Saccharomyces cerevisiae S288C: one gene and its partners. Changing the gene in region 1 together with any one later gene gives a genetic interaction. Each region holds a gene or a part of one and is shown in the gene's direction. Other genes may lie near its edges.

Region 1 (8,209 bases):
CCTCCATAAACAGTAAAATTAAAGCAAAAAAGCGTAACTGCTGATTGAAGCCTATATCACCGGGCTAAAATCTTATATCGGTTAAGAAAGTGATTAATTTATAGATATGTTCACGAAATCTTTTCTATTCAAAGATTCACGAATTTTACTCGATTTTTATAGTATACTGAAACAAGTAGTTGTAAAATCAATTCACCAAAAAAGCTTTCCCCATCTCTGATGAAAAACTACGAAAAGTTTACTATCACATAATATCGGAAGTACGTTTTTAAGGCACTGCAATGTATTTTATAATCTTGAACATTTGGAGGTATATTACCTTACTTTCTCATCAGGTTGTATATTTGAGCGTCTCGGGAATGATAAGTCGGGTAACGAGAGTATCTAGATAAGATTTTCAGCTATGGCAATAAAAAACCAAACCTCATCGATGAACCTATTACAACATAAAGACATCCCGTAATAATTAGTGAGACAGGTTCTTCAAGGAAGTGCTACAGCCAAGTTTCGTAATATAATGGGTGTTCCGTCATTTTTCAGATGGCTATCTCGAAAATATCCAAAGATCATATCCCCAGTATTGGAAGAGCAACCTCAGATAGTCGACGGTGTCATATTGCCGTTGGATTATTCCGCCTCAAATCCAAACGGTGAGTTAGACAACTTGTATTTGGATATGAATGGTATTGTTCATCCATGTTCGCACCCAGAAAACAAACCGCCTCCAGAGACTGAAGATGAAATGCTTTTGGCAGTTTTTGAATATACCAATCGTGTGTTAAATATGGCTAGACCACGCAAGGTACTTGTTATGGCTGTTGATGGTGTTGCTCCTCGTGCCAAAATGAACCAGCAGAGAGCGCGTAGATTTAGGAGTGCTAGGGATGCTCAGATTGAAAACGAAGCCAGGGAAGAAATTATGAGACAGCGAGAAGAAGTTGGTGAGATAATCGATGATGCCGTCAGGAACAAGAAAACTTGGGATTCAAATGCGATCACTCCAGGCACCCCATTTATGGATAAGCTTGCCGCGGCCCTCCGTTATTGGACAGCATTTAAACTGGCCACTGACCCTGGTTGGAAAAACCTGCAGGTGATTATCAGTGACGCCACCGTCCCAGGTGAAGGTGAGCACAAAATAATGAATTTCATTAGGTCTCAAAGAGCTGATCCTGAATATAATCCCAACACAACGCACTGTATATACGGTTTGGATGCTGATTTAATTTTTTTGGGCCTTGCCACTCATGAACCACATTTTAAAATTCTAAGAGAAGATGTTTTTGCTCAAGACAATCGGAAAAGAAATAACTTAAAAGATACTATAAATATGACTGAAGAAGAAAAACAATTTCTCCAAAAACAAAATTCCGAACAACCTTTCTTGTGGCTGCACATAAATGTTTTGAGGGAATACTTGTCCGCTGAGTTATGGGTTCCGGGTCTTCCATTTACATTTGATTTAGAAAGGGCTATCGACGATTGGGTTTTCATGTGCTTTTTCTGTGGTAATGACTTTTTACCACATTTACCATGCTTAGATGTCAGAGAAAATAGTATTGATATTCTCTTGGATATTTGGAAGGTAGTACTACCGAAATTGAAAACGTACATGACCTGCGACGGTGTCTTGAACCTCCCTTCTGTTGAAACGCTATTGCAACACCTTGGCTCCCGTGAGGGGGATATCTTCAAAACTAGACATATTCAAGAAGCCAGAAAGAAAGAAGCTTTTGAAAGAAGGAAAGCGCAGAAAAATATGTCAAAAGGTCAAGACAGGCATCCTACAGTAGCTACGGAGCAACTGCAAATGTATGACACACAAGGAAATTTAGCAAAAGGTTCATGGAACTTGACCACCAGTGATATGGTAAGGTTGAAAAAGGAACTGATGCTTGCGAACGAGGGGAACGAAGAAGCAATCGCCAAAGTTAAGCAACAGAGTGATAAGAACAATGAACTGATGAAAGATATCAGCAAGGAAGAAATTGATGATGCTGTTAGTAAGGCTAACAAAACTAATTTTAACCTTGCAGAAGTTATGAAACAGAAAATAATAAATAAGAAACACCGTCTTGAAAAGGATAATGAAGAGGAAGAAATTGCTAAGGATAGCAAAAAAGTTAAGACAGAGAAAGCGGAATCAGAGTGCGATCTCGATGCAGAGATCAAAGATGAGATTGTGGCTGACGTAAACGACAGGGAAAACTCTGAAACTACAGAAGTATCAAGAGATTCACCAGTCCACAGCACAGTGAATGTCAGCGAAGGTCCCAAAAATGGGGTCTTTGATACAGATGAATTTGTCAAACTATTCGAACCTGGTTACCACGAAAGATATTACACAGCTAAATTTCACGTTACTCCTCAAGATATTGAACAGTTAAGAAAAGATATGGTAAAATGCTATATCGAAGGGGTCGCCTGGGTACTAATGTATTACTATCAAGGTTGTGCCTCTTGGAATTGGTTCTATCCGTACCATTATGCTCCTCTGGCAACAGATTTCCATGGGTTTTCTCACTTGGAGATAAAGTTCGAAGAAGGTACTCCATTTTTACCTTACGAACAATTGATGAGTGTTTTACCAGCTGCATCTGGCCATGCTTTGCCAAAAATTTTCCGGTCTTTGATGTCTGAACCTGACTCTGAAATCATTGATTTTTATCCTGAAGAATTTCCCATAGATATGAATGGTAAGAAGATGTCCTGGCAAGGCATAGCGTTGCTACCATTCATCGATCAGGATAGACTGTTAACAGCTGTTCGTGCACAATATCCTTTACTTTCTGATGCTGAGAGGGCAAGAAATATTCGCGGAGAACCTGTTTTATTAATAAGTAACAAGAATGCTAATTATGAGAGGTTTTCGAAGAAATTATACTCAAAGGAAAACAACAACAACAATGTTGTTGTGAAGTTTCAACACTTCAAGAGTGGTTTAAGTGGTATTGTATCAAAGGACGTTGAAGGTTTCGAATTAAATGGGAAAATTGTATGTCCGATTCAAGGTGGGTCACTGCCAAATTTATCTACCACCTTGATTTTAAAGATGTCCTATAGATTAATTCCGTTGCCATCGAGAAATAAGTCTATTATACTGAACGGGTTCATTCCGTCAGAACCGGTACTAACAGCATATGACCTTGATTCCATAATGTACAAGTATAATAACCAAAATTACTCCCGTCGCTGGAACTTTGGTAATGATTTGAAGCAAAATATTGTTCCAGTAGGACCAAAGGGTATTACTCAGTACAAACCAAGAACTGGTGGCTATCGAGCATTCTTTTATTTTGCTGAGCTCAGTAGAAATAATGTCCAACCCGCCCACAACTATGGTAGGAATAGCTACAACAGTCAACCCGGCTTCAACAATAGCAGGTATGATGGTGGAAACAATAATTACAGACAAAATTCAAATTACAGGAACAATAACTATTCCGGAAATAGAAATAGTGGACAGTACAGCGGCAACAGCTACTCTCGGAATAACAAGCAAAGTCGGTATGACAATTCAAGAGCAAATAGGCGTTAGAACTACTCGTGCGCATTTTATTTTATGGTAAATTTAGGTTTTCGCAAATTTATAAAATCTTCATACAATTAAAAAAAAGCTCTTTTAAGATAATAGTGTCTGCTCTTACAAACGACGAACAGTAATATTTTATAACAAAAAATGGAACATATTAAGTTAAGAGAAAATCATGCTGAAGCATGAATATATGAATATACGTCCTCTTGTAAAATAGCGAAATCCTTGTAAGCCAATAGACCGAACTCTATTTTGATTTATACGCTTCGTGTATTTTTTCTTCCAGATCCAGGAGAAAAAGCATGGTCTGTTCTTCTTTTTTGAAAAGAGAGGCAGTCCACGGCGAAAGTTTCGAATACGGCACTACCTTTTTTTTCTAAGTTCCTAAACTTAAAATCAAATTTGGTCTTTGGTCTGTTATCATCCAGGGATGAATGCAACATATTGGGAAGTTCATGCTATACAACGCCAACCCCTTCGCTCAAGTCACGAAAGCACATCTTACACTTCCTCCTTGGCCAATATGCAAGCGTCCTCTTCAAAAAATCTTGCAACAAACAATCGGGTAATGTGGGATGTTGTGGAAAAATGAAATAAAGTTTTCAATAAATCCGACTGAGCTAAGCAGGAAAATTTTCGTACGCGGGTTTTTGTCCAATTTTTTCCCTTCCTTTTGAAAACACGGAAAATCTTTTAGCGAAGGCTGCTCTTAGTTCCATAACGGAAAAATTCCAGGAGTTATTAAAAGACAGAGTTATAGTTTAGTAAATTTTCTTTTGAGTTAACGAGAGAGGGACGTTTTCGAACTAAATAGAGGAGAAGAAAGGCTTCAAGAAATATCGTACCGTAGGAAACCAGTTTAATATATTAGAAGCTCTCATTTACCTATCATTTTCGTTACCATCGCGATTGTAGGAGGTTTTGCACTACTTAACAGACAAATAAAACGAGATGTTTGTTTCACCACCTCCAGCAACAGCGAGGAACCAAGTATTAGGGAAAAGAAAATCGAAAAGACATGACGAAAATCCAAAGAATGTTCAACCCAACGCTGACACAGAAATGACAAATAGCGTTCCTTCTATTGGATTCAACAGCAATCTTCCACATAATAACCAAGAAATAAACACACCAAATCACTATAATTTGAGTTCCAATTCAGGAAATGTTAGGAGCAACAACAATTTTGTTACTACACCACCAGAATATGCAGACAGGGCAAGAATAGAAATCATAAAAAGGTTATTGCCTACTGCAGGAACTAAACCTATGGAAGTGAACAGTAATACTGCAGAAAATGCAAATATCCAACACATAAATACCCCGGACAGTCAAAGTTTTGTTTCAGACCATTCATCTTCATACGAATCGAGTATATTTTCACAGCCATCTACTGCTCTTACGGACATCACCACAGGCAGCTCGTTAATTGATACAAAAACACCTAAGTTCGTCACAGAAGTAACACTTGAAGACGCTTTACCCAAAACATTCTATGATATGTATTCTCCCGAAGTTCTGATGTCTGATCCAGCAAATATACTTTATAACGGACGTCCTAAGTTTACAAAGCGCGAATTGCTGGACTGGGATCTAAACGATATACGATCCTTGTTAATTGTGGAACAATTAAGGCCAGAATGGGGTTCCCAGTTACCGACGGTAGTGACCTCCGGTATAAACTTACCGCAATTCAGACTACAATTACTTCCCCTAAGTTCCAGTGATGAGTTTATAATAGCGACATTGGTTAACTCAGACTTATACATAGAAGCAAATCTAGACCGCAATTTTAAGTTGACAAGCGCAAAATATACAGTTGCATCAGCAAGAAAAAGACATGAAGAAATGACTGGGTCAAAGGAACCCATTATGCGTCTATCAAAGCCTGAATGGAGAAATATAATTGAGAACTATTTATTAAATGTTGCCGTCGAGGCCCAATGCAGATATGACTTTAAACAAAAGCGCTCCGAATACAAGAGATGGAAATTACTAAATTCAAATTTGAAAAGGCCTGACATGCCGCCTCCAAGCCTCATACCGCATGGTTTTAAAATACATGACTGCACTAACTCTGGTAGTCTTTTAAAAAAGGCTTTAATGAAAAATTTGCAACTAAAAAATTATAAAAATGATGCTAAGACATTAGGTGCTGGTACACAGAAAAATGTCGTTAATAAGGTTTCTCTAACTTCAGAGGAGAGGGCTGCCATCTGGTTTCAATGCCAAACACAGGTTTATCAAAGGTTGGGGTTAGATTGGAAGCCTGATGGAATGTCCTAGTAAATTTTTACAACAACGCAAAAACGAAATACCCCACTATTTAACCACTTAACGACATTAATATTAATTACAAAAGTGTTTGATACACGTACTATTATAGATTTCGACGACCTTTAAGATTAAGTAATACCTTTAATAATTTTAATATATTTTAAGCCTACTGCTCTAAAATTGCCCAAAAAAAAAACCCAAAAAAATCAACATTTAAATATGATGATACTCCCATATATATCGTATTTAAAGAATAACTCTGCTGTTGTCTTGATTATTTGATTGTTACATTATTATCAACGCGGTATTACCCGTATGCAAATTTTTCAATCAAGCAAAGCATTGCAAAATTTGCATTACCTTTAAAACCAGTTGACCTTTATACACCATAAAATACTCGATCAGCAACCAAGAACATCTATAAAAATACTTACCACCTTAGATCGGAATGAGTGATACAAAGAGAGATCCGGCCGATTTACTAGCTTCTTTAAAGATTGATAATGAGAAAGAGGATACAAGTGAAGTTTCAACAAAAGAGACTGTTAAGTCCCAACCAGAAAAGACTGCTGATTCGATCAAGCCTGCAGAAAAATTAGTTCCAAAAGTTGAGGAAAAAAAAACAAAACAGGAGGATAGTAATTTAATCAGCTCAGAATATGAAGTTAAGGTCAAACTTGCTGATATCCAGGCTGACCCAAATTCTCCATTGTACAGTGCTAAATCTTTTGATGAATTAGGATTAGCACCAGAACTACTAAAGGGGATATATGCTATGAAATTTCAAAAACCATCCAAAATTCAAGAAAGGGCGCTGCCATTATTATTACATAATCCGCCTAGGAACATGATTGCTCAGTCTCAATCAGGTACAGGTAAAACTGCCGCCTTTTCTTTAACGATGCTAACAAGAGTAAACCCAGAAGACGCATCTCCACAGGCAATTTGCTTAGCCCCCTCCAGAGAACTGGCCAGACAAACACTAGAAGTCGTTCAGGAAATGGGTAAGTTCACAAAAATAACCAGTCAGTTAATTGTTCCCGATTCTTTTGAGAAAAACAAGCAAATTAATGCTCAAGTGATTGTTGGTACGCCGGGCACTGTTCTTGACCTAATGCGTAGAAAATTGATGCAGCTACAGAAAATTAAAATTTTTGTTTTGGATGAAGCCGATAACATGTTGGATCAGCAGGGTCTAGGTGACCAGTGTATTCGTGTTAAGAGATTTTTACCCAAGGATACTCAACTTGTTTTGTTTAGTGCTACTTTTGCCGATGCAGTTAGGCAGTACGCAAAGAAGATCGTTCCAAATGCTAATACTTTAGAATTACAAACAAATGAAGTTAATGTTGATGCCATCAAACAACTATACATGGACTGCAAAAACGAAGCAGATAAGTTTGATGTTTTAACTGAGCTATATGGTTTAATGACAATTGGATCTTCCATTATTTTTGTTGCAACCAAAAAAACCGCAAACGTTTTATATGGGAAATTGAAAAGTGAAGGTCATGAAGTTTCTATCTTGCATGGTGATTTACAGACACAAGAAAGAGACAGATTAATAGACGACTTCAGAGAGGGTAGATCCAAAGTTTTGATTACTACTAATGTCCTGGCCCGTGGTATTGATATTCCTACTGTCTCAATGGTTGTCAACTATGATCTTCCAACGCTTGCTAACGGACAAGCAGATCCAGCTACTTACATTCACAGAATCGGTAGAACCGGTAGATTCGGCAGAAAAGGTGTTGCCATTTCCTTTGTACATGACAAAAATTCTTTCAATATTTTATCTGCAATTCAGAAATACTTCGGTGATATAGAAATGACTCGTGTTCCAACGGATGATTGGGATGAAGTCGAAAAAATAGTTAAGAAAGTGTTAAAGGATTAGAATTCAGTACATAATACCTCAAAATACGTAAAAGCTTTAATCTAATTTCATACACCAATGAATATATTATTACGACATCAATGGGTCCCATTTGTTTCTTCTCAGTTTGTTGATCCACTTTTACTTGTGAGGCAAGCTTATATAAATACAAACACAGCATATACCTTGTGATTTCGATACCTTTGTCACTCTCTTTTGTCACGGCTTTCCGGTGAACAGTAAACAGCCCGTATACAAAAGGCTTGCGTTAAAAGGAATACTAAATGTAAAGCATACTTGCTTTTTTTCCATTATATACACTGCTAACTCTACATAATTCGGGAATAAAATATAAACATATTTGACAAATTCTTTTGAGAACCCAAAAACCAATATATATACAGGTAAGTGAAAAAATCTCAACTATACAAGAACCAACCCCTTATAATTGTGGGGCCAACATGTCCATGAGTGGAGATTGAATAAACGCAACACCTGCAACGAAGAAGGCACCGTTTAGT
Region 2 (4,571 bases), on another chromosome or scaffold:
TACGTCACAGTACATCTCTTTAAACCTTTTCGTTTCTCGGCTGTTTAAGGAAAGTATCGTCTTGCCGTATCTACATAAATCAATTCTTACCCATTTTCTTTTGCATTCTAGCCGTTAATTCACGGCTTAGTCGTTTGATATCGTGTTTGAATTGTGAATTGCATCATTCATGCGGAATGGGAATCATCGCAGTCGTTATCCGTCTCACAAACGTCGGCATTTGCTGACTATTAAGGCGACACGTAACCTACAAACTCAATTTGAGACGCAAACGCAAGTTGATTAGACGTTGAGAATGATGCAAGTAGCAACATCGGTAATGGTTAGACTATTTTATCAGAAAACTATAGAAAAACTAAAAACAAAACAATGTCACAATGACAAAGAGGAACCCATACATACACAGAGAGCCTATTCTTCCAGTAGTTCCTCAATATCAGCATCACTATCTGGGTCCAACCCTTGGTTTCTTCTCTTAGCCTCTTCCAAAGCGTTTTCAAACAACTCCTGTTGTCTTTTAACTCTTCTTCTAGTTTTCTTACCCCAACCGAAAGAAGTTGTTTCTGCTGTTGCAGCATCATCTGGCTTGTCGATCAGGTCTTTTGATCTCTTTTCCTCTTTGTCTCGTTTGTCCTTTTCCACTTGGGCAGCCAACTGCTTCTTCGCCAATTCCCTGGATGCGATATTTCTTAAGAGTAAATAACCACCTACAATTATCACCAATCTTATAAAGTGCTTGTAGTCATAGTTGACTAGTTTTGCCATCCAGGTATCCACCCATGTTTCCGCTACTTCAGACATCTCTTTCAATTACTCGGCAGTTTTTCTCTTCATAACATCTTTTCCTCATACAAACCGCCGAGTGCACATAAATACAACTACAAATAATAATATGTTGACATCGGATGGAGATCACTAACTAAACCGCCACCGCGCTAATTCTGCACAAATTCAAATTTCATCATCGCTCTCCACGTCATCATGGACGTCTTCCACCTCGGCGGATTCTTCGTCTTTTGATAGAATTTCCACAGCCCGCGGACGCACAAACGATCCGTGACCCGGCGCCACAGGCCCAAACAGTGTTACCCCATTTATGCGCCCATCGTTTTTGCCTGCGGCTTCCGGGAATTCCACACCGCACCATGTGCCCATCACGTCCAACGGTAGTGGTCCTACGTACCGTAAAATGGCCTCACGTGGAGCGCTCCCGTCTACTGTGACACGACAGTGGCGGCCGATAGCCGCCGTTAATTGCTCTCGGGCATATGCTTCGTCCTGCTTTGCCAGCGCAGCGCGCTGGCTCTGCTGTGCAGCATTAAACCTACCATAGCCGTGAGCCATCTTCCATCGTAATACGGATTGATCCCTTCGCAAATAATCCTCCTCGCTAATTACTTCCATTGAGGGGATTCCTTCCGCTTGCGTGGCCAGCTGGTTAGAGATTGATTGGGCATTAGAGTCTGTAACAACCACAATAAGCTCCTCCTCTCCTTTTAGGAAGTTGGCATCTTCATCCTCATTTGAATAGGCACCCCCCTTTTTAGTACTATATATCTCCTTGTTGTCGTACTGTCTTTTCACAACTATTTCCATATCCTCTGGTTCCACTCCGGTAACATGGTACAATCGGTCCTTGAACTGCCTTAATTTAAGCGAATTTGGTAATTCCTTTTCTGTACGGACCAATTCACTCTCTATGACAACTCTAACCATAGTTTTGCCATGTAATTTTTTTTTCTATCTCTTTATTTGAATTCGTTGCTCTATGTTCTTGTCGCTTGTCTTCTTCAACTGCCGTTTCCCTGCGAGCCGGAAAAAAGTACTGTTCTTTCGAACAAAGGCGAAAAAAGCTGTAGCTGAAAACAGACAACTGGGAAACGACAATTAAGAATACGCATGTACGTGTATACTACTACAGTAAAAAAGAAAGTTATTTGAGAGCAGCACTTTGTTTACTACACAGAACATTAACCAAAAAAACATGCATCAGCAACACTCCGTATGTTTCACTTCTTATTTTCTTCCGTGGCAATAACCTTCCTTTTGACTTATTTATACTAACATTATAATAACTATGTTTCCTTTTTGAACTAAGAAATCAGAGAACAAACCACAACAGCAAAGGAAAAAATTCGAAGGCCCTAAAAGAGAAGCTATTCTGGATTTAGCGAAGTATAAAGATTCTAAAATTCGCGTCAAATTAATGGGTGGTAAATTAGTTATAGGTGTCCTAAAAGGCTATGATCAACTGATGAACTTGGTACTTGATGATACAGTAGAATATATGTCTAATCCTGATGATGAAAACAACACTGAACTGATTTCTAAAAACGCAAGAAAGCTAGGTTTGACCGTCATAAGAGGTACTATTTTGGTCTCTTTAAGTTCCGCCGAAGGTTCTGATGTACTATATATGCAAAAATAGGTTTAATAATATAATCTCATATAAACTCCCTTCCTTACAGTTGAAAACAAAATCAAATCACGGTATGGCATTTCTTTACATATTCTCAATACCTGACTGACATAGTATGCGCTACATAGTTTTGTCCTATTTTTTTTACACCGCGATTTGAAGTCTAAAGCCAGAGAATGAGGAAAAACGAAACAAACTGAGATCATTTGTATAAGGGGAGTCACTGTACAGCTGCCAATACCAATTTTCCTTCTGCCAAATCAAAAAAGTATCCGCATACACATACACCCCTCCCTCTACAATCTTAATTATTTACTGATTCCTTTCGTATTTGTCCAGTATGAGCAATACTAAGCATACCACTTCTCATCACATGGAACTCAAAAGGATCATTATCCTTACACTTTTATTCATACTCATAATGTTGATATTTCGAAACTCAGTGTCCTTCAAAATGACATTTCAAGAACTACTGCCACGATTTTACAAAAAGAATTCAAACTCAGTTAGTAATAATAACAGGCCCTCATCTATTTTCTCGGAAAACTTGGTGGATTTTGATGATGTTAACATGGTCGATAAGACCAGACTGTTTATTTTTTTATTTTTCAGTTTCATCATTACTATACCGTTTATGGTATAAATTAGAAAAGTTAAAGCAGCATGTTTTCATTTGAAACAAATACTAATGCAATAATAGGTACACCATCTACTACATAATTAATTGATAGTTTCCTTTTCCGTTAAGTGCATGCATAGGACGCCCATAATTTTTTAAGTTAAAAAAGCATGTATTTACCTATTCGGGAAATTTACATGACATGGATGCCATAAGGAACGAAAATGAAACATGCATGTCAGAGGAAAAAGAACAAAGCGAGAGGAAAAAGCTGTTGCATTACCACGTAATTTTGTATATAAATATCTGATAAATAACCATTTTATTTCCATCCACTTCTTCTGTCGTTCATCCGTTCATTGACATCACTAGAGACACCAGCGAGCTATCATCTTCATACAACAATAACTACCAACCTTAATGCAACCGATCACCACTGCTTCCACACAAGCCACTCAGAAGGATAAATCCTCTGAAAAGAAAGACAACTATATAATCAAGGGCCTCTTCTGGGATCCCGCCTGTGTTATCGCTTAATTTTTGACGACAACCAAGAGGTCAAATCAATATCTACCCTTTCATTTATTACGTGTTGCTGGCAAACTAATTTATTCCAATTCTCTCATCATTAGCTCACCCTTTCCATACTTTTTCATACTTTTATACATATGTATTTGTAGTTATCACTTTAACAGATTTTTTCATGTTTTTCTTTTCTGATACGCCTTTCCCTCCGCAGGAAATGAAAGATGAACCACCCATTACATTCGATTTTTTTTTTAATTATATTTTTGACTATTATTTAATCATTAAAAACACATATATTTCATAAATTCGTAAGGTCGTTAGTTCTATCGTAAAAGTGAAAAAGTTTTGAGCCAGTTTTCAAAAACCCGCAGGATCCCACTATGTATGGCTTTAAATAATGGTTTTTCACGTGCATCAAGTCCGTACTATCTTCACCACTATAAACTCTTATAGGTGGATTATTCGTTTCGAATGCTGGTGGCAGTGCCGGTTTGAAAATAATCTTACCTACCCATGGGTGGTCTTCCGTTAACGGTTTGATGCATCTTAATGAGTCTTTGATATATCTTTTCCTTGAAACTAGTTGTGTCGCCGGTGCCCACTTCGAATCGTTACTGGATTGATTCTTATTTCCACATTTTAGTGACAATTTCTTTGGAAAATCATGATTTAAACAACCAGTCACGGAAAAGCTTTTCGTACTGAATATTGTACCGTACTCAACGTCCGCATTCTCATAGCGAGATTCTCTTTCATCCAAATATACCAATCTATTGATGTCATCATCCTCAACATATCCATCTTCATCATCCTCTTCGTAATTAGCATCGTCTTCGTCTTCGTCATCATCTTCATCTCCATTTACATCTTCATTGCCACGGTTTAACTTTTCTTCACGATTCGTACGCTCAGCAGAATTCGAAATAGTTGACCTTCCTGTTCCCTCGTATACCGGTTCAAAATTATTAATTTTCAACACTGACCGATCACAGCGCAAAGGATCTA
Region 3 (5,213 bases), 220 kb from region 1:
ACGTACCGTATAGAACCATTATGAGTTAACCCACCACTGATCTTGGATGCCAGAACATTCAGCAACGTAGTCTTCCCTGACCCCGAACCACCCATAACTGCCATGACCGACCCACTGGGCAGGTCCATGGAAAACGTATTAACTAGCGTCGTATTTGTTTTGGATGCAACGATTGACAAATCCCTTACATGAAGGCTTATTCTAGGGATTCTTGAGAAGGAAAGTCTATTTTCGATTAATTCAGTGGCCACATCACCATTCTCCTGCTGTGACATAGTGGCTGCAAGTGGATGTTTGGCGTTGGTGATTGTAGCTTAAAATACGATGATCGTTTGAAAACTGCCAAGCACTTGTGCCTACTTCTGCATTTACATCACAAATTCGTTTATCTCATCACTAGATCCTTCCTTTTTTTTTTTTCACTTTCTGATATTTCGTATAAGTGTCAACCCAACAATACTAAAGCCAGACATATGATAGAAGTAACTGCCTCACATGGCTGTAAACGATGTTGCTAAACCGTTGCTATGTTTATTTGTTTATGTAGGTATATGCTGATATAAATCATCTCCTAAAGGTATCCAAAAATTGGACTCCCAGTGGTCTTGCAGGTTCATCGGCACCAGGCTCGTCATCACCAGCGCTAGAGGTATTTGTAGGGGTGGTGCTTGAACCACGAAGCGGTAGGCTTGTAGGCCCAGAGTTGCCTGTATTTCCATTTCCTGTAGCAGCAGTAGCTGCTTCTACAGTGGCTCTTGCTGCTGCTGTATTCGTGGCCGCATTGGCCGCTATAGCAACGTTAGCCCTCGTGGGTGGGCCTTGAGAGATGAAATAGGATACAAACGGTATTCTCCAATGGTCTAATCCCGGTAACAGGCCCTTATCGATGAAAATACCACACATCCAGCTTATGAATCCGCATAGTATTCCTGCAAACCCCTGATTTAATATAAGCAGGAGAATTAACCCATTTAAAAGAAACTGATCGTTGATTTTCCACTCTACGGCGCTCTTGTCTTCTCGCTTGTTATCATTGTGACTTGATGCTCCTCCTCGAGGTCCTAGTAATCTTATATTCCATTCGTAAATCTGAGGGGTGTATTCTTTGTAAAAATGTACTAAGCTTAAAACAATGGGCAGTGAACCTGTACTAAAATTGTTCCATTGAAGCCACTTGTACTGTCCAATAAATGCGTTCCAGATCAGATTCAATCCCCAAATTCCTAAGGTGGTGTAGGCCCATGACAAAACAATCAAGGTCAAGTACTTGTGGGATCCTAGTAGCCGTTCTAAATGCCTAAACAGATACCATATCAACGCCAGTATTACTGTATCGGATTCATTGATGGCGCAGAACTGGAATATGAGCAGACGGTAGTATTGATGGTAGGTCTGCAGAAAAGGATCATATTGCAATAGAAATATATGTTTGTAACTTGCAATCGAGGCAACTAAGGGAACCACAAGCGTCGTGATCATGGCTAGCTTGGTGACGGGCATAGCCGTAAGCCCCACAGGAGGCTCCATAGACATTATTTGTAGACTATTGTGTTTGCTTTTTATGTCGTTGACTTTCTCTCCCTTTAATAGTTAAGTTTATACGTCAAATTTCTCTTCTATACTTTTCCAAAAAAAAAAAACCATCTTCACATCAATGGCATTCAAAGTAAGAAACAGGGCAGGGATAAAAGGATAGATAGCAATGGACATGGCCAACCAGTTGCTAGATGAATTAGCACATGGAAATTTTTCCCACCTAACGCTAAACTTGTCCCAAAATGGTAGGGAAATTGCTATCTTACAGAAGCAATTGACCGGATTTGATGATAAACAGCTAGAAACGTTTGTAGAACAACACCCGGCTATGCCCAATGATACGAGATTCAAAATCATGTGTACATCCTTTTTAAATTATGCCCGAGATGTCGACCCATGGTCAGCCTGGTCCAGTTCGGATCTAATTTTTGAGTTTTATCAATGTTTAATCAACTGTCTCATCAACGACAATGCTCCTCACATAGAAATGTTGATACCAGTAGCAACTAGAGAAACAGAATTTATCATCAATCTCGCTGGGAAACTAGACTCTTTCCACTTGCAACTGCATACGAGAAGTCACCAATTTCTATCACATATATCGTCCATCCTATCAAGACTATTTAACAGCATCAAACCTCCACGAGGTAACGCATCTTCTACAAATATACCTGGAAAACAACGAATACTGCTCTACCTGGTCAATAAACTAAATAACATCTACTTCAGGATCGAGTCACCGCAATTATGTTCCAATATCTTTAAGAACTTTCAGCCAAAAAGCATGCTTGCACATTTCAACGAATACCAGCTCGACCAGCAAATAGAATACAGATATCTATTAGGAAGGTACTACTTGTTGAACTCTCAAGTACATAATGCCTTCGTTCAATTCAATGAAGCTTTCCAGTCCTTATTGAACTTGCCGTTAACGAACCAAGCGATCACTAGGAATGGCACCAGAATACTAAATTACATGATCCCTACAGGGCTGATACTGGGAAAGATGGTCAAATGGGGACCGTTGCGACCGTTCCTTTCCCAAGAAACAATTGATAATTGGAGTGTTCTCTACAAACACGTACGTTATGGGAATATTCAAGGCGTGAGTCTCTGGCTGAGACAAAACGAGCGTCATTTGTGTGCAAGACAGTTACTGATCGTGCTCCTAGAGAAACTGCCCATGGTAACGTACAGAAATCTGATTAAAACGGTAATAAAGTCCTGGACCACCGAATGGGGTCAGAACAAATTACCGTACTCCTTGATAGAACGGGTACTACAGCTATCTATTGGTCCGACATTCGAGGATCCCGGCGCCCAGGAAATTACCATTTATAATGGCATTCACTCCCCCAAGAACGTCGAAAACGTACTTGTGACACTGATTAACTTGGGACTTTTACGCGCAAACTGTTTCCCACAGTTACAACTGTGTGTAGTGAAAAAGACTACAATGATACAAGAGATTGTTCCGCCGGTTAATGAACGAATCACCAAGATGTTTCCTGCCCATTCTCACGTTCTTTGGTGATATGTAGATATATATAGGAAATAGAAGAGAAGGAGCGACATTATGCTGTTTCTTACAGATTTCATAAGAGACTAGATTTTAAGTATATTTAGGATATATAAGAAAGGCGAAATTTGTAAAAAAAGAACAGGAGGAAAAAAGGGAGTACACTTTAAAAAGGAGCACATAAATGCACAATATGTTTCCAGCACTCACAAAGACACTGTCGTTGCAAGGCTACAAGATTATCAACTCTCAAACAGGGTCCGCTGCATGGTCGTGCGGTCGTAGGTGGTTTAGTAGTGATAAAGATGACCACGACGATGTGGTGACGAGGATTAAAATTGCCCCCATAAAGAGAACTAACGAGCCATTGGATAAGAAAAGAGCTCGGTTGATATATCAATCACGCAAAAGAGGGATCTTGGAGACGGACTTGCTGCTATCTGGGTTCGCTGCCAAATATTTGAAGAAGATGAACGAAGAGGAACTGGAAGAATACGATTCGCTATTGAATGAGTTGGACTGGGACATATACTATTGGGCCACAAAAAATTTCAAAACCAGCCCCTTGCCTGACAAGTGGGCCAATTCTAAATTGCTGAAGCAGCTACAAGAATTCAGTGAAAATAAAGAGAAGGAAATTTTAAGTATGCCGGACTTGTCCAAGTATCAATGAATACAAGCCATTGAATTACTATCACTTTTTTTTATTTGTATATGACTTGTAAATAAACCGGAAGAGAAAGAAACTTATATATTACCACTATACTATACTATACTTATTGCTATTATTATTATTCATTATTAGTATTATAATATATTATTGATATTGATATTGATATTGTTATTGTTATTGTTACTACCACTGTTACTATTACTATTATTATTGTTGTTGCACCATCAAAACCCTTCAAGAGCCTTTGTAGCTTTGTCTAATCTTTTCAGTCCTTCTTCATAGCGGTCCGGATCAAGAACCATGTCTGCTGTTAACCTGGACAAAGAGTCTACTAGTCTCTCCAGGGCACGTTTCTCCTCAATTTTCATCCCCAGTTGCGCAAATTCAGACCCGATTAAGGTTCCCTTTGTCACACTCAACAGTTGATTTAGTGTGTCGATATCAAAGGATCGCAATTCCTTCACAGATTTTTTTTTATTGAGCTTTTTTTTCGTATCCTTCTTGAGTTTAGTTTTCTTGGGCGTTTCCTCAATGATGTCCTCGTACATGTCATCATCTTGTTTGTTTGTCGAAGTAGAGGTATGATTTGCCCTATCATGAATAGCCTTCAATGTGTCGTCACGTTTCAAATTCGATGTAACTCTGCTATCCTCATTGGGTGTGCTGGGCAATGGTCTTGTCAAGTAAGTCTCTTCCTCTGGAGGCATACTCGTTGCCGCAGAATAGTAAGATTCCGATTTTTGTTCACTAACTGTGGAAATCTGAGATGAGTTCTTATAGTGGCCACCAGGTTGGACCGGCGTTGGTAATATTTCTTCGGTTAAAAGATCCCCCTCGCCATCACCTTCTTCGATGAACAACCTTGACCTAGGACGGTCCTTACTTCTGGGCGGAATAGTTGGATTGTAGTCATTGGTTTCAGAACGTATTGGGTTTATCGCTTTGGGTGCTTCGTTGGTGGTTGTATACAACTCGGGTATGACACTGGAAACAATTGAAAGCTTATCGCTAACATTTCCTTCCTCTTCTTCTTCGAGCTGCTCTTGAATAGATTGATGGAATTTGGTATTATAAGTGGAAGATCCGCTCTCGCTGGCCAAATTACCTGATCCTATAGAGGAACGCATAACTTTTTCCTGACGTAGAGGACTAGATAACAGTTTCAGTGAGCCACGACCCTCTACTTTTTTTGAAGTGTTAGAGTTAAACCTTCCCACAGGTTTGGCATTAGTAACTGGTTTAATGACAATTTCGTCTGCATTGGTATTCGATTTTGTGCTTTGGTTATCACTTAGATGTTTTGTCAATGTCGCTTCTGAAGGCAACATGGGCAACGACGGTAACTCGTTCTTGCTCACGGGCTCTTTCAAGGAGTACAAACTATTGGAATCCTTACTTGTGCGCCGTTCTTGGGTCTGTTGCCGGTTTTTGACCACATATGATACTTCAACGCCTTCTTGAATAATTCCAGAGTAGTTGGAAATC

Evidence for each region. A genetic interaction does not mean that the proteins touch.
Region 2: mutations in DBP5 (region 1) and LSM7 together harm fitness more than expected from each alone (negative genetic interaction), as found in Saccharomyces cerevisiae (4 studies listed by BioGRID, with this or other methods).
Region 3: mutations in DBP5 (region 1) and THP1 are lethal when combined (synthetic lethality), as found in Saccharomyces cerevisiae (3 studies listed by BioGRID, with this or other methods).

The regions. Positions count from the first base shown.
Region 1 is NC_001147.6:413,959-422,167, reverse strand, and holds DBP5 (ATP-dependent RNA helicase DBP5), read left to right. Parts: upstream 1-6,260; coding exon 6,261-7,709; downstream 7,710-8,209. Other genes in the region: ssRNA exonuclease RAT1, read left to right, coding at 518-3,538; STD1 (Std1p), read left to right, coding at 4,487-5,821; TOM6 (Tom6p), read right to left, coding at 8,131-8,209. UniProt on the Saccharomyces cerevisiae protein: ATP-dependent RNA helicase associated with the nuclear pore complex and essential for mRNA export from the nucleus. May participate in a terminal step of mRNA export through the removal of proteins that accompany mRNA through the nucleopore complex.
Region 2 is NC_001146.8:348,956-353,526, forward strand, and holds LSM7 (Sm-like protein LSM7), read left to right. Parts: upstream 1-1,984; coding exon 1,985-2,002; intron 2,003-2,098; coding exon 2,099-2,428; downstream 2,429-4,571. Other genes in the region: PGA2 (Pga2p), read right to left, coding at 412-801; ALF1 (Alf1p), read right to left, coding at 952-1,716; YNL146C-A (uncharacterized protein), read right to left, coding at 2,431-2,625; YNL146W (uncharacterized protein), read left to right, coding at 2,760-3,062; MFA2 (mating pheromone a), read left to right, coding at 3,459-3,575; MPF1 (Mpf1p), read right to left, coding at 3,865-4,571. UniProt on the Saccharomyces cerevisiae protein: Component of LSm protein complexes, which are involved in RNA processing and may function in a chaperone-like manner. Component of the cytoplasmic LSM1-LSM7 complex which is involved in mRNA degradation by activating the decapping step.
Region 3 is NC_001147.6:193,268-198,480, forward strand, and holds THP1 (Thp1p), read left to right. Parts: upstream 1-1,702; coding exon 1,703-3,070; downstream 3,071-5,213. Other genes in the region: YOL075C (uncharacterized protein), read right to left, coding at 1-275; DSC2 (Dsc2p), read right to left, coding at 565-1,533; succinate dehydrogenase assembly factor SDH5, read left to right, coding at 3,240-3,728; NBA1 (Nba1p), read right to left, coding at 3,953-5,213. UniProt on the Saccharomyces cerevisiae protein: Component of the SAC3-THP1 complex, which functions in transcription-coupled mRNA export from the nucleus to the cytoplasm.